Lonchura striata: one gene and its partners. The protein of the gene in region 1 interacts with the protein of each later gene in a pairwise test. Links are inferred from orthologs where the notes say so. Each region holds a gene or a part of one and is shown in the gene's direction. Other genes may lie near its edges. The genes, in order: EHHADH, DES, FUNDC1 and microtubule nucleation factor SSNA1.

Region 1 (6,909 bases):
GGAGTTTCAGAGCAGTAATCCTGGGTTTCAAGAAGCCAAGGAGCAGAGTAAAGTCTCAATAAAACAAAAGTCTTCCAAGGCCAGGTCGGACAGGGCTTGAAGCAACCTGGTCGAGTGGAAGGTGTCCCTGGCCATGGCAGGGCATGGATTGAGATGACCTCTAAGGTCCCTTTAACCCAAACCTGTCTGTGATTCCATGCTAACAGCTGTCGTGCTCACAGGGCTGTGTTGCTGCTCTCCACACCTGCACACACACATTTGAAACAAAAATGAGCTGTTTGCTTCTAAGGGGAATGCAGAGTTGGGTATGCAACTGTTCTCCATCTCCACACTAGTTTTTAAGTTATTAAATGTAGTAACAGGGGCAAAGTTAACAATGCATTTAATTATGCCCTGCCTTACTTTATAAGACAAAACAAAAAGCAAAGATTCCAAGACATTTGAAAACCTTTTTTACTACAGGAAAAAAAAAAAAAAATCCTCAAAGGATACCCAGTTAGGACAAAAAGGTTTTTAAATATGTCTTTATCACGTCAATCTAAAACAACCTTCATGGCTGACAGAAGCTGTGGCTCTTCAGCAGAAATTTAAATTCTGCAATAGGATGCTATTGCATGGCCCACAGTGTGCCTTGCTGTGTTGTTCTAGTTATCACACCTGCTCCACCTTTGTAAGGGCTCTCTGTGCCAGCCCTGAGGCACTGAACTCCAGCTCACTGAGGCTCTGTGAGGCTGGGTTTTGGAGACTGTTTGGAAAATAAACTTAAAATTATCAGAGGACACCTCCTAAGGGTGTGACAACCAAAGGAGACTCTGAAATTATTTTGTGATCAAATGTTTACCAGTATTGGCTTTTACCACACATGAAGGGGTCAGACAAAAATTACAAAAATTGCAGCTCTTTTTACAGCAGATAATAAGTGGGGGGGAAAAAGGGCCATAGCTGTAAGAGGGAAAGCCGAAAACAGCTGTTGGATTTAGCTGGCCCTCCTGTCTGTCATTTCAACAGCAAGGTATAATTCAGGCCTGAAGTTTAGACCAGCTGATGACAAGAACCAGTAAGTTTTTCAGTTTTCAGAGTTCCTGCCCCTCTCAGCACTGTGGCCATGGGCTTTACCACAAATCTCCACTCAGATTGCACAATACAGCTGATAAGACCTTCCATGCTCCCCAGAGGTCATTCCCATAGAAATACTCTACTCCTACAGATGGGACATTACTGCACTCACCTTTTCCAGTCTCTCTGGGTGCAGCTGTCAAAAAAGCATTTTCCAGGAATTTTTGTTCTGTGTGAATAAGGTTAGAGCAAATCAAGGTGCTTCTTATGGAGTACCTTGTATCACTGATATACTGGAATAAAAATGAAGCTGAGGCTCCTATAAATAAAGCATTTGTTTTTATCATTCAGCACTTCCTGAACAGGATGATGATCCCGGGGGCTTGCAGGAGACTTGATATATTTGTGTTGCTCCAGCTCAGAAAGAAGTAGGAATCTTTTTTTCCTACTATGGCACTTTCTGAGGGGTTCAGAAGACAAAGCACAACATTTCCATCCATTAAAATCTGTTTTTTGGTAAAAAATACCTTCATCCCCACTATTCCTGTCTCAGAAGCCTTTTTCCAGAGCTGGGTGCTAGGTGTATTTTCTGAGCATTATTCTCTAGTGTGTGGTCAAAAGACCAGTAATCAGAGGGATCTGGAATAGTGAGATGTCTTTTCCTCTGGCAGGCCTAGGGCTAGAGAAAGCTGCCACCTTGTCCTGTGGCTCCATAGCCCACAGCTGCTTTCCAGGGAAGCACAAACTGCCTGGCAGCCCCCGCACAGCTTTAGAACAGCAGGGCTGACAGAGGCTTGCACAAGCTCTTGGGGAGCCACACAAAAGCTGGAGGAACAAACTGGACCACCCTGGTAACATTTTGCCATGGTGAAGTGCACTGACAGGCTCTTCAACCTGCACCCCTCCCATGTGCAAGATCAGCTCAGATGTAGCAGAGCTGCAGAGCCTTGGTCTGATTGCAGTGAAAAAAAGCAATGCTGGAAGAGGAAAACACAGCCAGAAGCATAATTGGGGCCTGTACCATGCACTTCTCTTTCCCCATTGGTTTGGGATCTGGATTTAAGCTCAGGCCTTTGCACTTGGTCATTACACAACTTCCAAGACTTAAAATCTCTCTGCTGTATATACTGAAATTCATTTATTCTTCTTCTCACTACCAAACTCCATTCATCTTGAAGGAAAAAGGGAAAAAAAGACAAGCACAACCTTAAATATTACCTGAACTTTTCCATAACAATGTAGAACTTTCTTCTTTTTTTTTTTCCTATGAGCTCTCTTTTCCCAAGCACTGCTTTCTTCTGTGTTTATTCGAGCTTGAAATAGGGCTGTTTTATCACAACTACAGCAGTTGTATTATTAAAGGACAAATAGATCAGACCTGTAAATTATAAACACAGAGTACAACTTAGACTGATCTTTGGTTTCATTCTGGTTAATAAAAATTCGACAGACCAGCTAGCCCTCCAAGGCATCATTTACACAATTTTTATAAACTCCCAGAACATGCTGTTTACAAGCAAATGGCAGAGTATTATCACTAGTTTAGGGGGGTTTGTAACATTATATAATAAATGCCAGAAGAGCTGTAGTGACCCACCACAATAGGTGTAACAATAAAGGTTATATAAAAGCAGCAATAAAGCTTGCTTTTAGTGAAGGACCTTTCTGTACATGTAAATCAATTTCTAAAAATGTGTACACCTGTTCCAGACCAGGGAAAAACTGTAGCCATTCTGCCCAGGGACTGACTTTTAAAGGCCAAGAGACATAAAGGGGAGATTATAGATATATAAATAAGAATATAACAATGTATAGATGAGAATATTTTCTGTCCTTTAAATAACATTTTAAAGCAACAAATACCTGTTGTAACATTAGAAACTGTTTCCCCTCCCTACCTCTCAGCTCTTTTTACAGTGGCACTACAGCACTGAGCTGAGGGGCTGGTTTGAAGTGATGCCCGAGAGGACCAGAGGGACAGAGCTTGACTTGGAGCACACATTAAATTCCAGTGTTGTCCCAGAAAAGGTTCTTTCACCCAGTATACAAGATGCCAATCCAACACTAAGTCAAGGTGTTTGATTTATTTACATTTGTGCACAGAAAGAAGGCTGGGTAGCAAATCCACAAAGCCAGCATAACTATCAAAACTTTTCACTATTTATACATTTTAGCAAATGAAGGTATTGGTGTTCATTGGCTGCAAGTTACATCATTCTCTTATTTAGTGGTCTGTCTTCTACTGATTAATGATTCTCTCATTTCTCATGCTAATTAGGCCAGTCTTTATCTTCTTTTGGGTCAGTGGTTTCTTGGGTCAGTGGTCTGTGAGTCGCTGGTCATGACCTGCTCCTGCCAGAATTACCTTTTACCCAGTCAGGGCTGATTTCAGCACAGTTGCTGGGTTGGCTTTATTAGTTTCTTCCTTATTTTGGGGGTTCTGCCAAATGGCCTTGTGGCCTCTAAGTTCTGCATTCTGTGTGCCCACTCTCAGTGGCACATCACACACATCCTTCTTCCCAAGCATTGTCAACCTCCCGTAGGACTGGGATCATTGAAACACGTGGAGCCCCAGACCTTAACAAGGCAATTCTACCAAAAAGGTTTTCTCTTCCCAACGCCCGGACAACACTTAGAGCTTGTGAGCTGAAACCTCCTTTCTTGTTGATTAGGCTTGAAAGTTATAAAGATCAAACATTAATGAACAACCTTCCTTAAGAACAGTGTCCATACTGTGCATTTTGCCACCCCAGCAGAGGCAGCTCTCCGCCGGCCCGGGCCGGGGCCAGCCCCGCGGTGACCGGGCGGTGGGGGCGGGCTGCGGGCGGGGCGCGGCGGGGCTGGCCCGGGGACACGGGGACACAGAGGGAGGCTCGGCATGGCGCACTACGCGAGGGGCTCGGCCGTGGCCGTCATCCGGCTCTGCAACCCGCCGGTCAACGCGCTCAGGTACCGCCGGCACTGCGCGGGGAGCGTGGGCCTGAGGACACCTTAGGAGCGGGTGGAGGATTCTCCGATCTCCTTCCCTTTCACCTCGTTCCTTCTCTCCGAGCCCGAGTGAGGCTCGCCCCAGTGAGCCTCAGCCGGGACTTCTACACCGCTCAGTACTCGCAGAGTACCGGCGGCTCCTTCAGAGGTAGCCTGGATCTCGCTTTGCAAACAACATGCTGAACTTTGCCATAACTTCTGCTCTTTCTTATAATTTCTAGCTGGGGAGTTTCACAGGAGAGGTGCCAGGCTCAGCAAACCATACTTTCTGCCATCTTCGTGGAAGGTGTTTAAAAACCTTGCTTATTTCTCATCATTTTCCAGTCTTTAAACATCAAGACTGCTTCAGCAAGGCATAGCACAGCAGCGCTAGCTCAGCCTGGAGTGCCTTCAGTGCTGTTTGGTACAAGTCAGTCCTCAGATTTCCTGGTCTGATTGTCTGCCCCACATTGCTCAGTACTTGCCTGGCGAATCCTTGTGCTATCCAAGAGGGCAAAGGGCTCTGTGGGTATCAGGCATGGTTCAGCAAGCAGAGCTGGCACCAGGATTAAACTCAGCCAGGGCTATCAGAAAACAGTTCATTTGGCCTTTAAAAACAATTAAGGAATTGACCTCTAATTACTGATCTTGGTAAAGAAGGGCCCCATGCAATCTCAAACAGGAGCCAGTGAAAAATGAAGTCAAACACCAATCTGTAGGAGCCTCTGAAATTTTAGTTTTTCATGTGTCTTGAAAAGGACTTACGTGCTTTTGGCTTTACATTAGTTGTGGGGTTTAGTTCCTTTAGTTCTGAATAGCACATAAACCCTTTCTAAGCAGCTGTAGTTGTTCAGTAATAGTGACCACAGTGTCTATTCAGTCTGTATTCACAAGCCAAAAATAATCACACTGCAATTGTGCTTGATTTACAAAAGAGAAAGTTCGTTAAAAAGAAGCTCACGGAGACAAGTAAGAGCATGAAAAGGAGACGAAACATGATGTTCTTCTGTAGAAAAGCTACACTGTAACTGGCACTGGTCACTCTTCTGTTGCAACTTGTTTGGAAGTGGAATGAGAACATTTTCACATGCTCAGGTAATTACCATGAGAAACTTGGAGTGACTTGATGAGTTTAGATGAACCAGACACGTAAGACTCCCAGAACTGTATGGTGTAAGACATCCTTTGGACCTCCTGTGCCCAAGACTAGTCTAAGAAAACTTCCAGGCTGTGCTCACAATAAACTTTCAATCCTTATCATGAAAAATACAAAATACAGACCTAAAGAATCATAGAATTGCTGATGTTGGAAAGATCTTTACAATCACTGAGTCCAACCATCAGCAGTTACAGATATGTGTTTAGGAACCTTAACTCCCCTCTTTTGAGAAGTCCTGGAGAAAACCCAAAGTCACCTCTGCCTTTGAATAGCAACAGCACAACAACTTCTTCAGGACAGATCTCTGCCTTTACTGCCCTTTGCTCCTGGCCCTGCAGTGCCCTCACAGCAAGGTGCAGTTCTGGTACACCAAGGGAGACAGATTGTGTGGTTGTGGTCCTGTCCCTCAGTCCCACAGGGAAGAAAGAATATCCTGTAGACTTCAGATCCATTAAACTACAACTTGAGACATGTCGGTGGTCTTTGGTGGCATACCAGGGCAATACCTGTTTTAAAAGAGATCCATAATTCTCACACCCTTGCCATCAGGTAGGTGTTAGCTAAGATGTGACTACAGCTAGGAAAGGTACAGCACACTCTGATCCCTGGGTGCTCCTCCTGTTCCTGCACATTTCTGTACTGGACCACAGGAAGCAAGTTTCTTAGTGCTGTTGGAAATGTTGGAACTGCACAGGTGATAGCAGGCAGTGAAAGTTACAGACAGGAGCCATGCCCTGCAATCCTGAAAATTTCATTTCACAGCAGGCACAAACGCTTTTTAAGACTGGTGAGTTTTTGCTGCTGTACTCCAACCTTCCCTACCTGTCTCCATTATCCACTTCCCCCCTCCTGGGCCATCACATTAGCCATTAGCACTTTAGAAGCCAATGGTGGGCAGGAATTTGCTTTCTCCTGTCTGACATCATCCTCTGCTGGTACCTGCAGTGCTTTTCTGAGAAATGTGTGCTGACTTGAGAGCCTGGCAGCAAATTCACTTCCCACACAGACTCCCCTTTAAGCTAATCACTCTCTCCACCAGCAGAAGTGGCATGTGCCAAATTGCATTTGTTTGGAGGGCTTTTTCCTGGTTTGCAGAAGTTTAGTATTCAGAGATCTGCATTTACAAGACCACGGCATTGAGAGAAGGGATCCAGATATGCAAAGAACTAGGAGGTTTTTAGTAGCAGAAAGACAAGACTTGCAAAAGGAAGGACTGACTACCCCTTCTCAGCAGAGGCAGGCCGCTGGCACCGGGAATTAGAAGGACTTTAAGGAGTATTTCAACATTTAAGCTGACAAGGACAGAAAAGCTCCAGGGAGGATAGGGGAGGCCATGCAGTAGGGCAGCTTATGTGTGGGATTCTATGAAGTGTGGCAGCATAACAGGTTTGATTGGGAAAAGCTCTCCCTGGCTGCCAGGGTTATCCTTCTGACTCTGATCACCTTAAAATTCAAAAAATGTAAAGGGAATGAGAGAAGCTGCAGATTCAGACAGGTAGCAATGAGGGGAGAATGTGATCACCCACAGATCAGCACTTCACCAGAATGAGATACAGAGAGAAAATTCTGGGATCAATAAGCATCTGCTTCCTCAAACAACTATTCTAAAATTCCAGTCAAAAGATGCCATTCTGGCTCTGGCCTTAATTTACGTGTGGGACTGTTGAAGCTGCATTAGCAACTTGTCACACAACAATATGTGACAGTAGCTGCTACACAGCTGGATC
Region 2 (6,940 bases), on another chromosome or scaffold:
CCTTACGTGAGCCACCAGCGATGCAGCGGGTAATGCAACCTCATCTCATTGGCATGGGTGATGCTATCGAGGCCTGCAGCATCCTTATGGACCACCCAGCCACTCTGTCATCCCCACGTCCACATGGATCACAAGGGCAGCTGGACATCTTCAGTATCTCCACACTGCTGGGCCAGGTGAATGTCCCCATGGACCATGAGGGCAGGACACCCTTTAGCCTGCCCCTAGGCAGCAGGGATGTGGGGACATCCCCAACATCCCCATGGACCTCAGGGCCAGCTGTAGATGAGTGATGGGGCAGGTGTATGCATCAAGCAACCACATGGACACGGAAGTAGCTGGTCTCCCCCAGCATGCTTGTGAAATATAGAGGCAACAACTCACCCAGAGGACATGCAAAGGCCAAGGGAGGGGAGCAAACACCTCCTAGCATCTATACAGGTTGCATCTGGACAACCCTGGCATCCATGCTTGCCGTGGGGGCATCCAGGGACCCCCAGCATTCTGTGTCATTCACAGACAGGACAATGTCCTCAGCATCCCCATCACCACGGGACATGGAGGTGGGGACCAGGAGGAAACAGACAGTCTGTGCAACCCCTGGTCCTGAGCTCTGGAATGAGCAGAGGCATGGGGGCAGCTGGGGGACTGGAGACTTTACCCACAAACTCCTGAGACCCCATCAGACCAGGCTGGGCCTTGGTACAAGCTGGGAGGGAGAGCCACCTCCTATTTAGACAATAGCGTGCAGCCTGGATCCGTCAGCACTGGGGAATGGGCCACACAGTCCTTCCCTCTTAGGGTAAAGGCGCCTGGGAGGCTCATGGCTGTAAAAGGAGTGGGATGAAGGAAGACAGCCAGGGGTCAGGAGGGAGGGGAATGGACACCCCCGCTGCTTCATTCCCATTCCCATTCCTCAACTCACCCTTGAGCTAAGGCCAGGCATAAGGGGGCATTGGGTCCTGGTGGCAGGGTATAGGGACAAGGAAAGGCCAGCACCCTGTCCCCATATCCTGTCTAGCTTCAAGCCCCAAGACGCCCACAGCCCAAGGAGGCTGTGCTGGGTTTAAATCCTGGGGGAGCAGCACGGGGGGAGGGCCAGGAAGGAGGGGCAGCTGCAGGATGCAGCTGGCTTTGCTCACAGGGATGTCATGACCAGAGGGAGTTGTTTGACATTCCGGCTCCAAACGCCTTCCCGGCAGCAGTCTCATCCAAGATTTGATCGAAACTGGGACCAGGCCAGTGCGGGGGCTCAGGAGCCACTTCCCAGGCTCCGCCGGTCTGGGTCAGCCTGGCCTGGGACGGAGCTGTGGGGAGGCTGCACAGGACCAGACAGGACAGGAGGCAGCCCTGCACTTCTGGCCTCTGCAGCCTCCTGACTTTCTGCAGCCTCTGGGTCTTTAGTTGGCACAAGAGTGTTTGGCATCTTGTCCGTGGGACTCAGGCAGGGCCTCTAGGTCCTGCACTTCATCCCTCCTTCCTGGCATGCTGGGTCCCCCAAGCAGACAGGGATTTCCTAAGAGGCTTGTCCACCCTCTGCAAGACGTGGGGCCCCTGCTTGCCCAGAGCCATACCGGAAGGCTGTCACCACAGCTAAGGAAAGACCACTTCAAACAGACTGCCCTAGAGCAGGGTCAGGAGGATACTCCTGGTTAGCCCCTCTGAGCTGCTTCCCCTCCAAGCAGCAGTGCCCAAGAGTGCATTTCCCCTCCCTGGAGCACTCCAACCCTGCCCCCAACTGCTCTGTGGGATGAGGATGGGAACAAAGGCTACCCAGGCCTGAGATGGGATTTGCATCAACCTACCTGAAACCTATCAGAGCAGAGTGCCAGGCACTTCTGGACGCTGTATCCCTGAGGACTCCATCCTCCCCACAGTCCCCACTGGCACAGCAGTGGGGTGGGGTCATGGAAAGGGATGGCTGAACTCTGTTCCTGGTGGTGTGCTGTCACAGACGCCCCGAGTCCCCCTCCCGGGGCACCCACCTGCCCCTCTGCACACCAGCTAAGGGCCGGCTTGCTGGCACTTGAGGCACAGGCAGGGCACACTCGGAATGGGGCCAGAAGGAGGAAGGATGCTGTCTGTTTTTCCATCTACTCTCCCCCCACAAGCCCCCCCTTTCTTCCATTCTCTCTCTATGCTGGGATGAAACAACCTCATCTGGAAATACCTTCCCTTTTAAAGGCAGGCTCCTCCAGGCAGCTTGCACTCACTGGGAAGACACTACATCACTCTGCAACTGGGTGGTTGGGAGAGGCTCCAGGGATGGGGGCTTGGAGGAGCAGAGGGGATGCAGGGCATTGAGCATCTGCTCACCTGCATGTCTGTGGGACCCAGACTTTAGCTGGCTGCCCAAGTGACATGGAGCAGGGAGGCAGCAGCAGGGAGTTCCTCCCAGAGCCAGAGCAGTGGAGAATGCTTCCATGAACAAGCCTGAGCCTTTGCCTGATGGTGATGCTGCCGTGGGTGAGCCATGGCATTGCTTGGCTTCTGTGTTACAGGCAGGACAGAAGCCTGGAAGGTGCAGGGCCAGGCAGGGCTGAATGCTGTCCTGCTGCTGAGTCACCCTGTGCCCAGTGGCACAGCGGTCCCCTCCACCAGGGCCTTCAGTGACAAAGGCACTGGGGCTGAGCCAGCTGACGTCAGCCAAAACAGCCCAGCTTGGACAGAGCTGGGGGTCACCGGGCGTGCTGGGGAGCCTGGGGAGGAGGGGATGCTGCCCAGGCAAGGGGAACCCTCATGAAGATTTCCCCCAGCACACGTGCCCTCCCTCAGGATGTCCTTTTCAGCTGTCATGCATTTGTGCAAGGCCATGAGGGTCCCTGGCCTGACTCACCACTTTTCCAGGAAGCTGTAGTGGGGGTTTTCAGACAGACTTAGAAATTCCCCATTCTGGGAGTATTTGGGGAGCTGGGCTGGGCTTTCAGATCCCCAGTGTACTTCCTGGCCAAGGGGGGAACTGAGGCGACAGGGAAGAGCCTGCTGTGCCTTGGGATAACCTAGGGACTACGTTCTGCTCTGAGGGTGATGGGGATCAGAGAGGGGCTAGGGCTGCTCCAGGCAGGGTCACCATCCAGCTGTGCTCTCCACGTGCTTGGAGCAAGAAGGGTTAACAGAGTGCCTCCCCCACTATAAATACCACGTTTGTATGTCCCACACCCCACGAGTATGAGCTGGGAAGGCTATTTTGGTTGAGTGCCTGCTGCTTTGGGAATGTGCCGGAGCGAGGACAGGGGCTGACGTCACCGTCACTGGGGCTCAGACCCAGCACCTGCTCGGGGTCACTCAGCAGCACTCCAAAAGCACCCAGACCCTGGCCAGTGCTCAGCCCCCCATGTCAGAAAGAGAGCTTGAGTGGTGAGTCAGTAGAAGCACACTCAGGGCAGGGGTCCCCCCACATCAACCCCCCTCCAGGGCCCTTCCTTGCTCACTTTCTGGATGGGAGTCTGGCCCCACATGGAGACCTGAGCCTAGTGCTCTTGCCAGGGGGTGGGTCAGGGCATCATCAGGGGCTGTTTGGGGTGCACAAGACCAGTTTGGGGACCATGGACCTGGCACGGCATTTGATCAAGTGATGCTGTGAGGTTCCCCTCTTTCCCTTCATGGCATCAGCCTAGGCTGTCTGTCTGTCTGTCTGTCTGGACCCCCTTTGCGTGGCGCTGCATCCTGATGGGGGGTTCACCACCAGTCTGCCCCACTTCCTCCCCTCGCACTGCCAGAGACGGGGCAGAGCAGTGGGGGCCGGTGTCAAGGCCTCCCAGAGAGCTGCAGGGGGGCCCAGGGGTGCCTGTGTGCCGGGGGGTGTGTGCAGGTGAGGGGCAGTGGGCGGGGGCTGCCGGCCGGATCCCCCGCGGCAGCGTCCCGCAGCTGCCCGGCAGCAGGAGGGGCGGGTGCTGGCAGCAGGATACAAATAGCGGCGCGCCGTCCGCTCCCGACGCCTCTCCGAGCTGTGCCGGCCGCTCGCCAGCCCTCTGCCTGCTCCCTGCTCCGGCCTCGCCTCCCCACGCCGCCACCATGAGCCAGTCCTACTCCTCCAGCCAGCGGGTCTCGTCCTACCGCCGCACCTTCGGCGGCTCCCCGGTCTTCTCTCGTGCCTCCTTCGGGGGCAAGGGCAGCAGCGGCAGCTCCGTCACCTCCCGCGTCTACCAGGTGTCCCGCACCTCGGCCGTCCCCAGCCTGTCCACCTTCCGCACCACCCGCGTGACGCCCCTGCGCACCTACCAAAGCGCCTACCAGGGGGCTGGCGAGCTGCTGGACTTCAGCCTGGCCGATGCCATGAACCAGGAGTTCCTCCAGACCCGCACCAACGAGAAGGTGGAGCTGCAGGAGCTCAATGACCGTTTCGCCAACTACATCGAAAAGGTGCGCTTCTTGGAGCAGCAGAATGCCCTCATGGTGGCCGAGGTGAACCGCCTGCGGGGCAAGGAGCCCACCCGCGTGGCCGAGATGTACGAGGAGGAGCTGCGGGAGCTCCGGCGCCAGATCGAAGTGCTCACCAACCAGAGGGCTCGTGTGGAGGTTGAGCGTGACAACCTGCTCGATGACCTGCAGAAGCTCAAGCAGAAGTGAGTAGGGGGGGTCCTGGAGAGTCCCTGTGAGCATCCATCCTTGCATCTCCATCCCTAGATGTGGCTGGGAGCAGAGCTTGCCCTGGCAGCTCTTCAGGTGCTTACTGCTATCCTCGTGCCTCATGCTCAGAGCCCATGGTGAGCCCAGTGCTCTGTCACCCTTGACCACTTTCTGGGCAGCACCCAGAGGGTAGAGTGGCTCCCCCAGCAGGGGTGTCCCCTGTGCTCTCCCTTGCAGTGAGGCTGAATCTGGGCTGTAACACCACAGCACTGGGAGATCAAAGTGCACCTCACCCCGGGGTCCCCATCTCTGCTCACACCGGGGAGGGCTGCTGGGCCCATGGGTGAGCTGAGCTCTGTGGGAGAGATGGACAGACAGATGCAGTCAGGCTGGCAGAAGTAAGGGGATGGATAACCCAGGGAAGCTGCACCATCAGCTCCAGAAATGAAGGAGGGAGGGGAGGAAGCAGCTGCACTTCTGTAGGCCAGGGATGCTTCAGGCCTGCTGTGAGTGTCCATGGTGCCCTGTGAGCAGTGGGACACCCCAGAGATGCTGTGGACCTGGCTGGTGCCAGGGAAGAGAGTGGAGAGTATCCACAAGGATGGCCAGGCTGAGGGAACCCCCGGGAACTGATGTGTGGGAAACCTGGCATTAGGGGCAGATAATCAAATGATGGTCTGCACCTTCCCTCCTGGACCCTGTGCCCTGGGGACACCATTCCCTCGGGGTGACACAGCCTGCTGCCTCCTCCTGTAACCCCAGCCACCACTACAGTGCTGGGGTTCTCCCTGATGCTGGGGAGCTGGGGGCTGGTGCCATGAAGGAACTCTCCCTGACAGGGGAGGAGCAGGACCCAGAACAAACGGGTGTTGGGTTTCTGCCACCCCATGTGCCAGCACCACCTGGGCGCCTCCATCTCCTCCCCACTGCCTTTCCACTGACATGCAGCCTGCAGTACTGTTGCCTTCCTTGACACAAGCCTGGACCTCCAGCCCTGACCTGAACCTCCCCCACAGCAGTCCCAACTTCACATCCCATCCCACAGCAATGCCAAAATCTGTCTGTGCTCCTGCTCTCCCTGGGATAGCTCAGCTGGTGCCCATCTCTGGACTCCTTGTCAGATCCTGCGCTCTGTCCCCCCAGCTGCTGGTCACTCTCCCCTATAAGGGCTGGGGCAGTGTGCGTGGCACTGAGCTGACCTCATGTCTTTGTGATCTCTCTGGCGTTGACTATAATAGGGAATAGGAGGAAGAGCCCCTGGCCCCCCGCCAGTCCTCTGCTGCCTGCCGGGAGCACAGGACAATCTGTTTTCTTCCTACTGGGCCATTCTGGGCTTAAGGACAGCTCGGGGGGACATCACCACGGAGGGATGGACCTTCCTCCAGACCCCCCTAGCCTTCCTTCTCTGCCTACAGGCTGCAAGAAGAGATCCAGCTGAAGGAGGAGGCTGAGAACAACCTCGCTGCATTCAGAGCTGTGAGTACCTGTCCCCTTGGTGTGGCGTGGGAGCCCTACCCTCCTTCCCACCCCCATCTCCCCCCAGCAGCCTGGACCCAGCACCAGGGCACGGTCCTGGACACAGCTTTGCACCTTCCAGCCCTTGTGCTCCCCGGCAACCTCCCACTATCCCTCATTCTCTGTCCTTCCCAGGATGTGGATGCAGCCACACTAGCACGCATTGACCTGGAAAGACGTATCGAGTCCCTGCAGGAAGAGATTGCCTTCCTCAAGAAGGTGCACGAAGAGGTAGGTCAGAAGTGGCACCCTTTTCCAATGGCACTCACGGGGCAGCAAAAATGGAGTGGGTGCCCTGAGATGTCACCTTGTCCATGCAGGAAATCCGGGAGCTGCAGGCACAGCTGCAGGAGCAGCACATCCAGGTGGAGATGGACATCTCCAAGCCCGATTTGACCGCCGCGCTGCGGGACATCCGCGCTCAGTACGAGAGCATTGCTGCCAAGAACATCGCCGAGGCTGAGGAGTGGTACAAGTCCAAGGTGCGGGAGGCAGTGGGCTCTGGGCTGGCCCCAGCACAGCGGGGTCCATCTCGGGGGCCATCCCCACTGACCTGGTCTCTCCCCAGGTGTCTGACCTGACACAGGCAGCCAACAAGAACAACGATGCGCTAAGGCAGGCCAAACAGGAAATGCTGGAGTACCGGCACCAGATCCAGTCCTACACCTGTGAGATTGATGCCCTCAAGGGAACGGTGAGCTAAGGGCAGCATTGAGAAGATCCCCAGCTTCCCTGCAGGGACCTGCTGTTCCAAGGCTGATCAGGGACATCTCTGGGGTGGGGGGCTCTTCCCAGCTCTCTGAGTTCCTATTGCAGAGGGCCTTATATCCCGCATTTGGACTGCACCTCCCCCAGC
Region 3 (7,192 bases), on another chromosome or scaffold:
GAAGCCATGGAGCTTCCTACTGCATTAACAGTCCAGGTTATTGCTCCACAACAGCCCTTGCCCAGGATCTTGATGGACTTAGAACCCAAATCCCTTCCCAGACATTTCTCTGCCATTTTCCAGCCAACAGAGCTTTGAATAACAGCATGTTCACATAGGGTTGTTAAAAAGGAATCATCCATTCACTCCAATACCTTTATTGCCAGGTTATTCTGACTGCATTTACTAGATTAAGCCTGTGGAGAACATAAGTTTCACTCACAAGCAAGGCCTAGTGGAGAGGGCTGGCAGTGTGTGTTGCCTTTAGTTTCTATAATTAATCATGCAAGGTGGTAAAAAATTAAAGGATGTATGTTCCAGTTTGGAATTCTGGTCAGCAGCACAAAGCTGCTAGGATTAGAGTCGCACAGGCATTTGATGATTGGGGGTCTCTCTTCTGCTTTTTGGGGTTTTGGGGCATTTGGGGGTTTTTGGTTGCTTAGTGTGGAGTTTTTTATTATTTGTAAGGTACGTGTGTGCCATGTATGTTCCATTGCAAGCTGTGACCCTGAACATGCTTGTCACAGCTATAAGGTACAGAGGGTGGCTGCACAGCCTGAACTTGTAGGTAGCATTTACAGAGCAAAGAGAGCAGTTTTTCTGCGCAGTCCTTCTGATGATACAGGAAAACACTTTGTTCCTGAAGAACCTTTAAGGGTGAAGCCAAAATGTGGCCTGAGTTTAAATTGTCTACCTTTCCTTGGAAAATCTGTCAGAATCTGCCATTAATAGCTTGAAGGAAGCATCAGGGTGCAAGAGATTTGAATGGGCTTGGGGAATTTTATACATCACAGTGGGGCTGGTAAAAGCTCTGCCAGTTATTCTTGGTCTCTGGAGCCACGAGGTTTGCTGTCTCTGCACAGGGTACGGATTTTGCTGGGAGCAAGAACAATCCTGACATCATTTTCTGTGCAAGCATTGAGCCAATCCCCCAGGCAGTGCCTGCAGATCCCAGGCAGATACTGGGAGCACCACTGCATCCTACTGTGGTGTCCATCCAACTGGAACCCACTGGGAAACGCCTTGGGGTGCATCCTGATCCCAGAACAGAGACAACACAACCCGAAACCTGCCAAAGGGCTTTCCCTGGGTCTTTCCTAAACTCCTTCCCTGCCACTCACACCACCCTGACTTGGCAAGAGGGGTGCAAAAGGAAGCAAACAGAATTCGCAGGTAGTACATGATGCAGCTACTAATGTTAATCTTTTAAAAGTGCTAATTATACAAACCTCCCTGTTCTGAAAGGAAATTAATATAATTGTTTGCACAGAAGTGCTGCTATTTTTTAACTGATAGTAGTTAAAAATAGGGAAGCCAAATATTAAGAATTCAAGCTACAAAAGGTACAAAAATAGCCAGGCTCACACAACGTGAGCAAAACTCTCTGGTCACCTCTCTTACCTTACTGGCATCTGACTGGGAAATGTCAACAAGCACTTTTTTACTGACTGGGAAGGGAATACCAAACCCACCAATTTTATGCTTAAACAAGAAAACTCCCAAGATGCACAGTGTTTGTCAAAACAAATCATAAGAGACAAATCTGTTTGTTCCTTATAGGAATGTATCTGTTGAAAACCTTAGAGAAAGCAATATATTACCAGTTCTGTCTGGCATGCTGTCACCTAATTATCACAATGGCAAATGTTTGTAATAAAAATAATTTAATAAGCAAACAACCACTTTATACACTAATTTCAAGTTTTATATGCTAATTTCAGTTTCAGAGCAGACTACAGAAGGACTTTCTCGTGGAAGATACATTCTTCCCTCTTCTGGTATGTCTGTAAAGGCTGGTGTAATTAAGGGGTTTAATTAAAATCCTAAATGCTTACTCCATAAAAATAGCTTTATGACATACAGAAAAGTGGATTTTATTCATTATAATTACCTGCTTTGTGTATTGACAGTGTAAGAGTCCAAGTGAGAAGCTGTAAACACTTTTAAATAATTTGTTTTCAATTTTATTATTTATAAATTAAGTTCCTTGATGTTTTCTTCATTCATATTGCAATAAAGCTCCTAAAGGTGCACTTACTGTGTCAGCCACCTCCGTGGCGGCTGCATACATTTAAAAAAACAGTCCTAAAATACAATTATGTGGCTTTTAGCCCATTGAAACCCCACCAACGCATTGAAGGAGCAAGCACACCAGGGCTCAAATTTAGTTTTTTCCAATGTTTCACAGCTCACATTGGCTTTAACCTTTGTACTTTGAGGGGCCTTGTGTTTGGTTTTTTCTGGTTATTAATTTTTATGGGGCTCGTGGCACGCAGCTGCTGTCCAGCCATGCCTGCAGCCACTGGGAGATATTGAGAAGGTTTTGGGGTTCTTACCCCCACCACTGGCATCAATGAGCCCCTCAAGGCACAGGCTTGAATATCGTGTGCTGTTTTGAGGACCACAATACAAGAAACACAGTGAACTGTTGGAGAGAGCCCAAAAGAGGGCAACGAAGATGGTGGAAGGCCTTGAGGGGAAGCGTGTGAGGAGCAGCTGAGGGCGCTTGGTCTGTCCAGCCTGGAGGAGACTGAGGGGAGACCTCAGTGCAGTCACAAATTCCTTGTGAGGGGAGAGGAGGGGCAGGCACTGATCATCACTCTGTGATGACGGTGACACATCCCGAGGGAATGCCCTGAAGCTGTGTCAGGGCAGGTTTAGGTTGGATATTAGGAAAAGATTCTTCCTCCAGCGGGTTCGCTGGGCAGTGGAACAGGCTCCCCAGGGCAGTGGTCACAGCACCAGCCCGGCAGAGCTCAAGAAGCGTCGGGATAACTGAGGCACACGGCAGGATTCTTGCGGTGCCTTGCGCAGGGCAGCCAGCTGGATTCGCTGATCCCCGCGGGTCCTCTCCAGCTCGGGATACGCCACTATTCCCACCGCGCAGCCCGCGCCCCTTCCCGCAGCCTCCCCCTCAGGGACTCCCCGGGGTGAGGGGAGCGGGAGGCGCATGCGCGGCGCGGCCGCGAGGGGGCGGCACCGCGGCGGGGCGGGGCGCGAGCGGCCGCTGGGGGCGCAGCGGGGCGGCCGCTCGCCGCCTCAGCACCGGCCAACATGGCGGCGCGGCGGCCCCGCTCCGCCTCAGGTCAGTGCTGGCCCCTTCCTGACGGGAGCGCGGAGGAGGCGGCGCGGCGGGCGCCCTTCCTCCTCTCGGGGGCGGCGGGCAGCCCCCTCCCGCTGCGTCCCGGGGGCGGGGAGGGATGGCCCGGGCTCTGCGCCTCCCTTGTCCGTTGCGTGTCCCCCCCTCCACCGCGCGGCCCGGCGCATCGGCCCCGGCGCTCCTGGCATCACCCGGGCTAAAGCTCGTTCCCGGGATTTAACCAGCCAAACCCCTTCTAGGCAGGCCCGCGGGCAGAATGAGGGCCGGCCGAGCCCTCACGGAGCCGGAGGTGCCGGGGGGATGCGGGACCGGAGGCTCCAGCCCCCATGGCCGCCGCATCCTTCCCCGCGCGGGGCTCTCCGGGCATCGCTGTGGCCTCGTCCTGCGGCGCCTTTCGGCACTGGCACGTTCCGTGTGCTTGGGCAGTGTGCGGAACATCATTTGTCGCATGCAGGAGGATTTTTCATCGGTAGAAAACGCTCTGGCAGTTATTTGCCACAGAGCGTGTTATGGATGTGTACACTAGTTCTGGTTTAAATAATAATAATTTAAGGGCGGAATTATTGTGACTGTTCATGACAGTGTTTTAATATTCTCCATCCAAAGAAGTTAAACAAGTTGTCCTCAGTACTGCAAAGAAAGAACATTCAATATCAATTTTTTAGCATTATAGGTCTCACTATTTATTACTTAGTACTCAAGGACATATGGTAATAAAGAGAAATAATGCCCACCTATATATGTACTTCTTGCAGTCTTTGAAGCTTTTACCCATACTGGTAGTACAAGTTAAAAAACTGTCAAAATTTTAATAAAATGTTTATATTTACAGTCTTGCTTTAATTCTAGGTAAAAATTTAACTTCTTCTGGAATGTCCTACCCATAGTGCTGAATTTAGATTTAACCTTAAATATATTTAATCAAAGTGGACTTCAGTTCATGTGTGTATGTCACAGACTGTGATACACTTTTAAAATATTTTTCTTTAAAAATCTAGACCCATCTCTTTCCTCTGATGCTTGAGTATACACAGTGTTGAGGATCTCTTAATTTGAAATTGTAGGATGCCTGTTTTGAAAACATTGACAGAATTGTCCTGAAAACATGGAACCTAACTGAAGTCCCTGTGTCATCTGTTTCACTGGAAAAGGAACAGAAGTCGCTTCCTGGCAAATGCTGATGCCTGGTCCTCTGAGGAGAGCACTGGGCCAGAAGTTCTTAATCTTTCCAAATGTTGGTCTGTCCCTTTGGTTTTTGTTGGGTTTTTTTGTTTGTGGTGAATGAGATGACTGGTAGTTTTATCGGATGTCTCTTGAACAGGCAGGGGATTCTTGTTCACCTTTGCAGTGCCAGGCGTGGATTTTATTGATTATACCACTGCTGTAGCCTTCTACACCTTACCTTGGTGATGGCATAGAATCCCCAAATCCTTTGTTCTGGGAGCTGCTGGACCATAACTTGTACATTACAGTTGAAACCATTGGATTACCCGGTTAATGCCCAAACTGAGTCTGGGACTTTCACATAACTTGTTAATTTACTCTATAACTGAGAAGATAACATGTTTAAAAATTGCTTTTTCTATTTCAGACCACGACAGTGACGACGATTCCTACGAAGTGCTGGATTTAACAGAATATGCTCGACGTCACCATTGGTGGAACCGCTTGTTTGGCCGGAATTCAGGACCAATTGTAGAAAAATACTCTGTAGCCACACAGATTGTGATGGGAGGTGTGACTGGCTGGTGAGGGAGCTTCCCTTTCCATAACTGGCCTAGACATTTTACTTTGTTAGGAGATCCATTTCCAAGGGTATTTGAAAGCAGATAAATACATGTTTAATGGGATTTCCTTTAGCATTGATCAAGATTGTTCATGTGTGAACAATTTTAGCTTGTTACTCTGACTCATTATGAAGTGTTTTTTAATAGTGGTGAAACATGAGTTATCCAAGGGAACTCATACTAGTTACTGTGGAAAAGATTTGGGAAAATGTCAGAGCTCTAAAATGACAAGAAATAAATGGAAAATTACTACATGTAGCTTTTACTCTGTATGGAAGAGCATACTTCCTTATCTAGATTTAGAAACTTAGTTATATTATGGCTGAGACATATTTACAGGTAAAAGAAATGAAGGAAGGAAAAAAGGATGGCAAAATGTACTTTTAATTAAGAGCCTCATTTCCTGGAGACTTTTTTTCTTCTAAATTGAGCTGCAGCCATGTTGAGCAAATTCACAGTTTACTGTGATGTTAACTGATACATAGCCTAGTTATACTAGAATAATTCATGGTGAAAGCTAGACAGTCAGGATGAGAACTTAAACTGGAAAATGTGGTCACAGCCTGAGCAGCTGTGTCAAGGTATTTGTTATTTGTCAGAGGTATTTGAATGGTATTTGTCTACTCCAGTACACAGAAAAACTGTAAATTCATTGAAAAACACCATTATAGTAGCAAAGTGACTTTTAAAGAGGGATTATGCAAGGATTAGAAGATGAAATAAACTAAAAATGAAATTATTGTACCCAGCTCAGTACAGCTTTGTGGTGTGGGTTTAGCTTTCAGTCAGAATTTTTTATTTGCTTCTGTAGCCTTAGAGTTATTTTAAAAAGTTATATGTGTACGTGTAAACTCAGATGTTTCTAGGGAATAGTTCATCTGGCATCCATAAAAACTGGCTTATTGAATGATCTGGAAAATGCACATTTCAGTATCTGTAGATGCACATCTCTCTGGCTGCCTACTGATGTATATAAATGACAATTCACTATTTATATGCAGCGGGAAAAAATTCCCCTCTGCATGTGAGCCAGTGTTTAGACACACTGGAATTGCCCAGGGAAGTTGTGGAACCATCAGCCTTGGAAACTCATGTCTGAGTCAGGGCTCTTGGCAGCCCGATCCAGCTTTGAGATTGGATTGGGCTCTGCAGCAGTTTTGGGAAGGTGACTGGCCCAGGTGACCTCCAGAGGCCCCTTCCTGCCTTGTCATTGTTCTGTGATATCCATATCTGTTCTCCATTTGATGAGGGAGGTTTGGAGCCTGAGAACAAGGTAATTTTCTGGTTGCCTTGATCCATTAAAAATAGACTTAACACCATGTCCCAGCAGAGTGCCCTCACTGAGTTTAACTCTTGTGATAGGAATGTGCTGCTTTTTACTGAGATATTTCAGTTATGAGTTGTGTAGTTAATATAAATTACAGTATAATATATTTACATTCCACTTGGGAACAGTTATAGTAGCACTGTTATGTAATTATGCTGTGCTTTATTAACATGCTACATTTAATAGCAGTAAGATCTTGGGATCTCAAGGTTACTTTAAAGGGGCCATGAGACAGCCAGGAACAGGCAACCATTACTCACATTGTATTGTTTTAAACATTGTTAATTTAATATTGCTTGAATTAAATAGCCTTGATTTTTAAATTTGTAAATATGAAGTGATACATTTGCTTTTTATATGAAATAATGGTAATAGTTGTAGTCAGGAATTGTGTAGTGTGGCATTGTTTAGCAGAAAACTTCATTAGACTGGGTTTTTTTTTTGTTTTGTTTTGTTCCCCTAAGGTGTGCGGGATTTTTGTTCCAGAAAGTCGGAAAGCTTGCAGCAACTGCAGTAGGTGGTGGCTTTCTTCTGCTTCAAGTATGTAGCATTTCATGCTTTATAAGTTGGCAAATGTTATTTACTAAACAATAGGAAAAGCACAGCTGTTGGGTAACATTTAATTAGGAAGGCATCTTACCTACTTCATCTTTTTAGTCTTATCAGTCAAAACCTTACATTTGAGCTGGAATATTGTGTACAAATGTACAAAGGAGACATTTCTAAAATCAGTGGTAAATCAGAATCTACTCTGTCCTGTAAAATAGTTTGTTGTAAGACAAGAGAACTTCCGTGCAGAAGCTGAGGTACTGTGTGTGATTTGACACTGCCAGATGAGAGGAACTGCCTGTAAACCTATGGTTAGGGAGAATTTAAAATGTGTTTGTTTTACTTTGGTTTGATAGTTTTATCATAGCTGTTTTGGCAGTTGCCTGGAAG
Region 4 (7,205 bases), on another chromosome or scaffold:
CATAATTTTGGTTGTTCTAAATATATTTTACAGAGGTGAAACTGTGGCCAAACTAACCTTACTAATGCCACACCAATTAAACAGTACAAATGTTAAACTTTTAAAATTAGTAATTTCCCTTAGACTGTTGAAGACTACTTCCTTATTCCAGTCTGTTAACGTATGATGTGAAAACACCTGTTTTAGATCAGAATAAATGAAACTTTCCACTGTCTTAACAACTAGGAGAAGGTACAGTGGGATGGTGTTCCTTTAATTCACAAAACTACAAATAATTTATTTTCTTTCATCCTGACTGCATGTATACATACTTCACACCACCCCCCAGCTATGAAATCCTGCTGGACCTCATAAGGACTTCAGAATATCTCTCCTATCTTATAACACCTCCAACACACAAATAAGCAAAGCAATCCCCACATAGAGCTTCATCCTCCAGATGTTTTCATATATGCATGATTCCACTAAATGCAGCTCTGTTCAAGCAGATAAAATTACCGACTGTAGCAAAACTAAGAACTGCAATAGAATGTGGGACTAATTTTTGGACAGGTGAACAGAAAATAAAAGAGGACATCTCTGTATCCTGAAAAGTAGCACAGAAGAGCAGCATATGGGCATTGCACGTGCATTTAATTCTGAGATTACTACACTTCAAATTATTATCAGATACAATGAAATTCAGCGTATTAACAAAAGAGGCATGTTCTTATAATGCACCTACACACTTCTCTGTCATTAACAGTGGCCTAGAGAGCCTCAGCATTAAACCAAAGAAGGAAAAACAAATAGGATTTACAAGAATAATTGGGTATCCATGAACACATTTGTAGGGTTACACTAGTATGTCCTAAAAAGGTACTTGAAAGATACTTCCTTTATTTTACTAAAACTATTATATCAAGTAAAACTAGTGCAGCAATAAACATGTATGTACATCAGAATTTGTTAGCTTTATACAGAAAAAAGAAGCACTGATTTAAAGCTCCAAATTCTCTACTGGAATACTTCACCTTGTACCTTGACACAAACACCAATCAACAGAACAAAAGAACTTTTCCAAATTCAGACAGCAATTGCAATTTTCTAAACTCTGGCTGTTTGTTACCTAACACTGTTATTACCTGGAAAATCCTATTATTTTCCTAGGAAGCAGGGATGCAAAATAAGATCAGTTAAAAAAAACTGGGGATATTGCTACTGTTTATAAGCCTGTAAAAACATAGGAGGCTAACTTGACTGTGAACATACTTCTTCAAATTCCAGTCAAGAAAGGCTCTAGTATGTGCTACCTTTGATCTATTAGAGTTCTACATAGCAGCTAAATACAAAGAAGCTTTTTTCATTTCTGTTGGAGTTTAATCTATAGAGCATGTACCTACAAAGTACAACATCACAATACGCAAAGTCATTGAAAGGATGCAAAACAGCCAATATTACTAATGAAAAATTGGAAAACTATTTCATGTTATCAAACGTTGCTGTATGCCTAAATAAATGAGACATACTAGTTAAAATAATAACAAAAGGGTTTATTTAATCTTTGGGACTGTAAGGAAAACTACCATACCTGTAAAAACCAGAAAATTAATAGGTGTTATAATGCCTCAATGATTGCTTCCAATTAAATTCCCACTTTGGGTTCACTGCAATCACCCTAGCTGAGTACAAGGCACATTTAGTGTAAGACATCACTTGAGTTGATACTGGTTAATTTTAATGAGAAATCAGTGACTGGTTAAGTAGAAGTTTGTTAAAGATAACTTACCACCATCCCTCTCTCTAACTCTGTGAGTGTGCACACTTTTTGCTTTACTGTGCCCTGTGTTGTCACCGTATTTGTTTTCAGGGCTGTCAGAGCGCCGCAGCATTTTATTTGGTGGCGAAGGATCTGTGGCGTCTCGCATCTTGTCATGACGGTGATCACCACCACTGGGGTGACTCTTGGATGTGTACTTAAGAGCCTGTAACAGATCACAAGAACATAGGCATCTACATTAGATACAAAATTTTTGGATTTTTTTCTTCTCTTTCAGAAGTATTTTAAAAGTTAAATAATTTTCATTGCCTATTAAAACATATCAGCATTAGTCTTCCTAGTTTTAATTACCTACATTAAAGCAACAAGTTCTGTAATTAGAACTTAAACCAATTTCTCCCACTATTAAATCAAATGCAACACTTGCTGTTAAGAAGAATCCTAGTTTCTCTATCTTTCCACTGATGAATTACACAGTTTCAGCAGTAAATGGGCCACAGCTCTTCAACAGTTTTGGGAGAGGAACTAGTCTCCACTTGTTACTAGGAAAACAAACTTTAAGTTACACTGAATCAGTGTAAACTTCGAATATGTCCTCCATAATCTAGTAAAGACCACCTGGTTGCATCACTATCTTGAATTTCTGTGACGTTTTTTTCAGTACTAACATCCTTGTAATTAAACCAAAAATAATTCTAGGGGGCCAACATGTAACATAATAACTCATTATAAACTCTTTACCAAAAACTACATGTTCTGCCGCACTCTGACCTGCTTGGTTTTGTGAACTCCTGAGAGGCAAGTGTTTACATTTTTGTGAACTGCCACTGACAGCTGCCTTGGACGGCTCTAGTGCACTTCAGTGATTCAAATACACAGAAATGCAGTAAAACAGTCCAATTCAGGGCCCACAGAGAGCAATATCACAACATACAGCTTTCCACAGACTCGAACCTCGACAATTTGGTTTCTTCAGTAGACACAGTAAAGTGCAGTATCCACCTTACACAAATTGAGACTATTGTCGGTAACTCAAGGATTTGATGGTTTCTGAACATGCCTAGCAGCTGGCAACTGCAGAAATTAAGCCTCACTTGCAGCCCCAAGTTGGTCAGGCTCTAAACCCATGCCCTGCTCAGGTTACAGCCCACAGCAGCAGTTTTGGGGAGAAGAAAGGGCTTTGGGGAGGGGTTGGGGGAGGGGGCGGTGGAAGAGCAAGACTCCTTTTGTTTTTAGAAGAAAAACATTCACCTCCCTTGGATCTCCACTCCACCACAGGTGACCCCGGCTCCCTCTCCTGCCCCTCGCACCCTCCCCGACTCCAGGCCCGAGCCCCGCACGGGTCGCACTAGGCCGCTCCCGCTCGCCCCGGCTCCGCAGGCCTCGGCCGAGCAGCGGGGCCCCGCTCCCCGCGCCCGGGCCGCCGCCGCTCCTCCGCCGCGCGGCGCCGGGCCCTGGGCCCCGCAAGGGGCCGGACCGGGGCGGCCGGGGCACCGCGGCCTGCGGCGGCCGCCGGAGCCTCCGCTGGAGTAGCACCCCCCCCGCCTCCCCTGCTCCTCCTCCCGGCCCGGCGGTACCTGGTAGGGCTGCGAGTCCCCCCTGCGGTCGTGACAGCTGAGGAGAGAGCGAGAGAAAGAGAGAGAGGCGTTAGCGAGCGCCCGTTACCGGCCCCGCGGCCGGGCCGAACATGGCGGAGGGGGTGGGGGGGGCGGCCCCGCGGGGCCGAGGGGGTGAATTTACCCATCACTGAGTCTCTGCTGTTTCCTCGCATACATTACCATCAATGCCCGGCCTGTGTGTGTGAGGGTGAGGGGACCAGGAGGGCACGGCCGCGGCCGGGCCACAGGCGCCGAGGGGGGAGGCGGGGGCGGCAGCGCTCCGGGGGCAGGGGCGGGGGAAGGGGGCGGCTCGGGCAGCTCGGCTGGAGCGGCGCTCACGGGCCCATCGCCTCGAGAGGGGAGACGCTGGCAGCTCGGCCCCGCGCGCGCTGAGACACACCGGGAGCACCGACTCGGCCACCGCCTCCCCCCGCCGCGCCCGCCGCCGCCGCTCCAACTACATCCGGGGAACTCGGGCGACGCCGCGCTCGGTCAACGTCGGCTCTTTCCGGCTCTTTCCGACGCGCTCCGTCCCCTCTGTCCCCTTTGCTCTCGGGCGACTCTGCCTTCGGTAAACATCGGCTGCGTCCGCCGAGCCCGACGCCCCTCAGTCCCTCCCTTCGGCAAACATCGGCTGCCTCCGCCGCGCACGACGCCCTTCAGTCCCTCCCTTCGGCAAATATCGGCTCCTTCCGTAACGCTCGGCCCTCCCTGCCCCTCCCGCCTCGGCCCACTCTTGCGAGCGCTACCTGTCTTCGGAAAACATCGCGTTTTTCCGGAGAGACGTTTCCGTGCGGCCGTCAGGGCGGCGCCACGTTCGGAAGCGCTCGGGTATTTCCGTGGGCCGGCGCGGTCGCTGGCGGGAGCACGGGGCCGGGTAGCCGAGGGCAGCGCGGCCTCGGTGGCAGAGCCGCTCCCTCGGTGGGGAGGAATCGCGATCCTGCCAGGCAGGTGGGGGCAACAGGGGGAATTACGGGGGGCGGGGGGGACATAGGAATGGGAAGGTCTCCTCTTACCTACCCCCTCCTCCCCTTCCGCCCGGGCACTCGATGTGCAGGCGGGAGCCATTTTGTGCGCGGCGCGTGTCGGCGGGGCCGCGCTGTGCGGCGCGGAGGGTGTTAAAATGTCCCTGGGACGGCGGCCGCGGGCTCGGGCTGGCCTCGGTCCCGGGGTGTCCTCGGGGGTGTGAGGGCGGCACACGCCGTGGCCCCGGCACATGCGAGCCGCGTCACCCCAGTGTTGGGGGAGCTGCGGGCGCCGCCGTGTCGGGAGATTCCCTGGCCTTGGCAGTGCCTGCTGAGCCACTCAGGGCTGTGCCCGGTGACAGGACGAGGAGCGACGTCCATAAACTAAAACACGAGAAGTTTCACCTCAGAATGAGGAAAAAATTCCTTTGAGGGTGGAAGAGCACTGGATTAGGCTCCCTGGGAAGGGCGTGGAGTCTCCCTCTGCGGAGACATTCAATACCCACTTGGTTGCTCCTGGTGACCCTGTCTTGCCAGGGGGTTGGACTGGATGATCTCCACAAGTCCCTTCCAACCTTATGCATTCTGTGATTCTGTAGTTTTTGCTTATTTCTGACCAGGCCCTCGAAGTCTGATGTACAAAGCATCCTATATTCAAGGTTGTACAAAGGTATTATTAACCGTATCATAAATACTTCGATGCCAGTGCCATGGCAGTGTCATAAGGGACAGCAGTTTACAGTAAAGGTTTAAGAACATTTGCCAGATTTTGTCCTGTCTGCCTCCTGAAAAGGGAAGAGATGTGGCATATCTGAGAATGGGCCTGTTAACTTAGAGAACCTTGCCCAGTGGCTCCATCTGTGCTAGTGAAGCATTATTCACGGCAATGCTCTCACAGATTTTTTTTTTTTTCTGTTTGTTTGTTTGTTTTCCTTTAATTTGAGTGCAGAAGGCCATTGCTGAAAGGGGACTTCAGGGAGTGAGTGCAGGATGACTCAGCAGGGAGCTGTTCTTCAGGGTTACAATAATGAACTAGTGAAATGCATTGAAGATTTATGTATGCAGAAAGAAGAATTGAACAAACAAATCCGGCAAGCAGAAGAGGAAAAGAATAAACTCCAGCATGAAATCCAAGTCCTCAGTGAACAGCTGGAGTGTGTATGTGAAAACTTGGCCCAAAAAGTGGCTTCACGGAATGAGCTTGATAAAATACTTGCTGAAACTGAAGCTGCTTACATGAAGATTTTGGATAGCTCTAGAACTTTACTTAATGTCCTGAAGAAGGAAGTGGGAAGCTTAAAGCATTCACCAGATCTGAAAACCCATGTAACATGAAACAGTCAAATGTTTGGACTCTGCAGTGCTAGAATTCCACTAGGTGAGAAACGTGGTCAGCCACGGAACCCTACAGCCACAGTATAAGCAGAGAGCGGTTTTCTTCCAGTCTTTCTGTATGTTTTTTTATTTTCAAATGCACTAGAAAACAGATTAAATAAAGTTGCCGTTTTGCTTTAAGAAATCTACCTAATTGAACACTACGAAAAATAGCAGATAGGTAGTTGAGGCAGATGGGAGACTGTCAGTTTTGACATCATTATGCTTCAAGTCTTAGAAAAAAGGCATGTTTTATTGGTTGACTTCAGATGGCTCCCAGTAAATTATTCTTTGAAAACTAGTAGATGCAAGTCAATCAGATACTACTTCTTTTCATTTTACTAATGCTTAGGCTTTACTGTTGGGACCAAGTTGAAATGAGCTACTTTTACTTTGCTCTAGGAGCTCGGAGTTTTGATGCCTGCACAAAGACAGCCCCGTTTACAATAATTGCCTATTTGAATAATAGAGGGATAAGGTGAGAAATCAGGAGTAATGCAGGGCATGGAGGCTTAAAATTTAACACTGTATGTGGTTCATGCATCTTCTTAAGGTATTCTTCAAAGCCTTGTTTAGAAAGGAGATGTGCTGCAGTGAAAGGGTTTGGTGCAAGTGCAAAGACAGGTGCACCATGAAGGCTTGGACCAGTAATTCACTTGGGGGTAAGAAAATCACGTCAGTAGCAACTAGAAGTCCTGAAAAACCACTGGGGTCCAGTTAAAAATACAGAGGTAAATAAAGACCAAAGAAGATAATCCTGGCTAGAAGCCAGTAATAGAATTTTTGGAAGCCTTTTTAGTTCCTTTTAGCTTTAGACTGATCTGTTAAATAATTGTAATAAAATTGTGGAGAATAGTAAACATCCTAAAATGATATGAAAGAAATACAAATGAAAGGTGAAAGAAGAAAATGAGAAGTGGTTTTCAGCTATCAGTCATTCTTACAGAGGACATTAAAATAGAACTTAGTTTAGAGATCAGGGATAATATAACAGCATGGCATAAATATCAGTTTAATGCTGTTTTTTGTTTCTGCTGAACCTCTCTGTTCTGCAGAAGTCTCTCAGCAGTGTGTGCACGTACATGTGCATTTTGTCCCTCTTATTGAAATGTTACAACAATGACTTAAACTGAATCTCCATTCAATACCAATTACTTAAATTGAAAGAAGTGCAGTTGAAATCTCCTGACTTGATAGTGGTGTGTTTGTAAGGTGCACATATAGAGGGAATGAAGATGTGAATAGTTTTGGTAATAGCTCTTCATCAATAATAGGGAGCAAATTTTATGTTCTTCTGGTTGCCAAGCTACATCAGGGATGATTGTGACTAGGCTAATCAGTTTACTTGTATGGCCCTTTGGGGAATTCCCAGTGGGTAATGCAGAGGTAATAAAAGTGTATTATCTCAGGAGCATTGCTATTGGAGTATTGCAGCACTCAGGACCACTTTGTTTATGTTGAAGAGAAACAGGAAAATTTTGCTATTTTTTGTAGCAAAAAAGTGATTTA

What was found.
Region 2: the proteins of EHHADH (region 1) and DES interact in binary tests that used the Homo sapiens proteins (3 or more experiments, as listed by UniProt). The two-hybrid records come from large-scale screens. The link is inferred for Lonchura striata from reciprocal best matches to the Homo sapiens genes EHHADH and DES.
Region 3: the proteins of EHHADH (region 1) and FUNDC1 interact in binary tests that used the Homo sapiens proteins (3 or more experiments, as listed by UniProt). The two-hybrid records come from large-scale screens. The link is inferred for Lonchura striata from reciprocal best matches to the Homo sapiens genes EHHADH and FUNDC1.
Region 4: the proteins of EHHADH (region 1) and microtubule nucleation factor SSNA1 interact in binary tests that used the Homo sapiens proteins (3 or more experiments, as listed by UniProt). The two-hybrid records come from large-scale screens. The link is inferred for Lonchura striata from reciprocal best matches to the Homo sapiens genes EHHADH and SSNA1.

Annotation. Positions count from the first base shown.
Region 1 is NC_134612.1:6,533,619-6,540,527, forward strand, and holds the start of EHHADH (peroxisomal bifunctional enzyme), read left to right. Parts: upstream 1-3,908; 5' UTR 3,909-3,934; coding exon 3,935-4,005; intron 4,006-6,909. UniProt on the Homo sapiens protein: Peroxisomal trifunctional enzyme possessing 2-enoyl-CoA hydratase, 3-hydroxyacyl-CoA dehydrogenase, and delta 3, delta 2-enoyl-CoA isomerase activities. Catalyzes two of the four reactions of the long chain fatty acids peroxisomal beta-oxidation pathway.
Region 2 is NC_134610.1:16,073,076-16,080,015, forward strand, and holds the start of DES (desmin), read left to right. Parts: upstream 1-3,939; 5' UTR 3,940-4,014; coding exon 4,015-4,565; intron 4,566-5,984; coding exon 5,985-6,045; intron 6,046-6,219; coding exon 6,220-6,315; intron 6,316-6,404; coding exon 6,405-6,566; intron 6,567-6,652; coding exon 6,653-6,778; intron 6,779-6,940. UniProt on the Homo sapiens protein: Muscle-specific type III intermediate filament essential for proper muscular structure and function.
Region 3 is NC_134604.1:110,767,725-110,774,916, reverse strand, and holds the start of FUNDC1 (FUN14 domain-containing protein 1), read left to right. Parts: upstream 1-4,182; 5' UTR 4,183-4,313; coding exon 4,314-4,377; intron 4,378-4,730; coding exon 4,731-4,887; intron 4,888-6,717; coding exon 6,718-6,793; intron 6,794-7,192. UniProt on the Homo sapiens protein: Integral mitochondrial outer-membrane protein that mediates the formation of mitochondria-associated endoplasmic reticulum membranes (MAMs).
Region 4 is NC_134603.1:141,329,142-141,336,346, reverse strand, and holds the start of microtubule nucleation factor SSNA1, read left to right. Parts: upstream 1-4,185; 5' UTR 4,186-4,308; intron 4,309-5,271; 5' UTR 5,272-5,312; coding exon 5,313-5,657; 3' UTR 5,658-7,205. Other genes in the region: WAC (WW domain-containing adapter protein with coiled-coil), read right to left, coding at 1,769-1,964, 3,337-3,373, 3,500-3,540. UniProt on the Homo sapiens protein: Microtubule-binding protein which stabilizes dynamic microtubules by slowing growth and shrinkage at both plus and minus ends and serves as a sensor of microtubule damage, protecting microtubules from the microtubule-severing enzyme SPAST.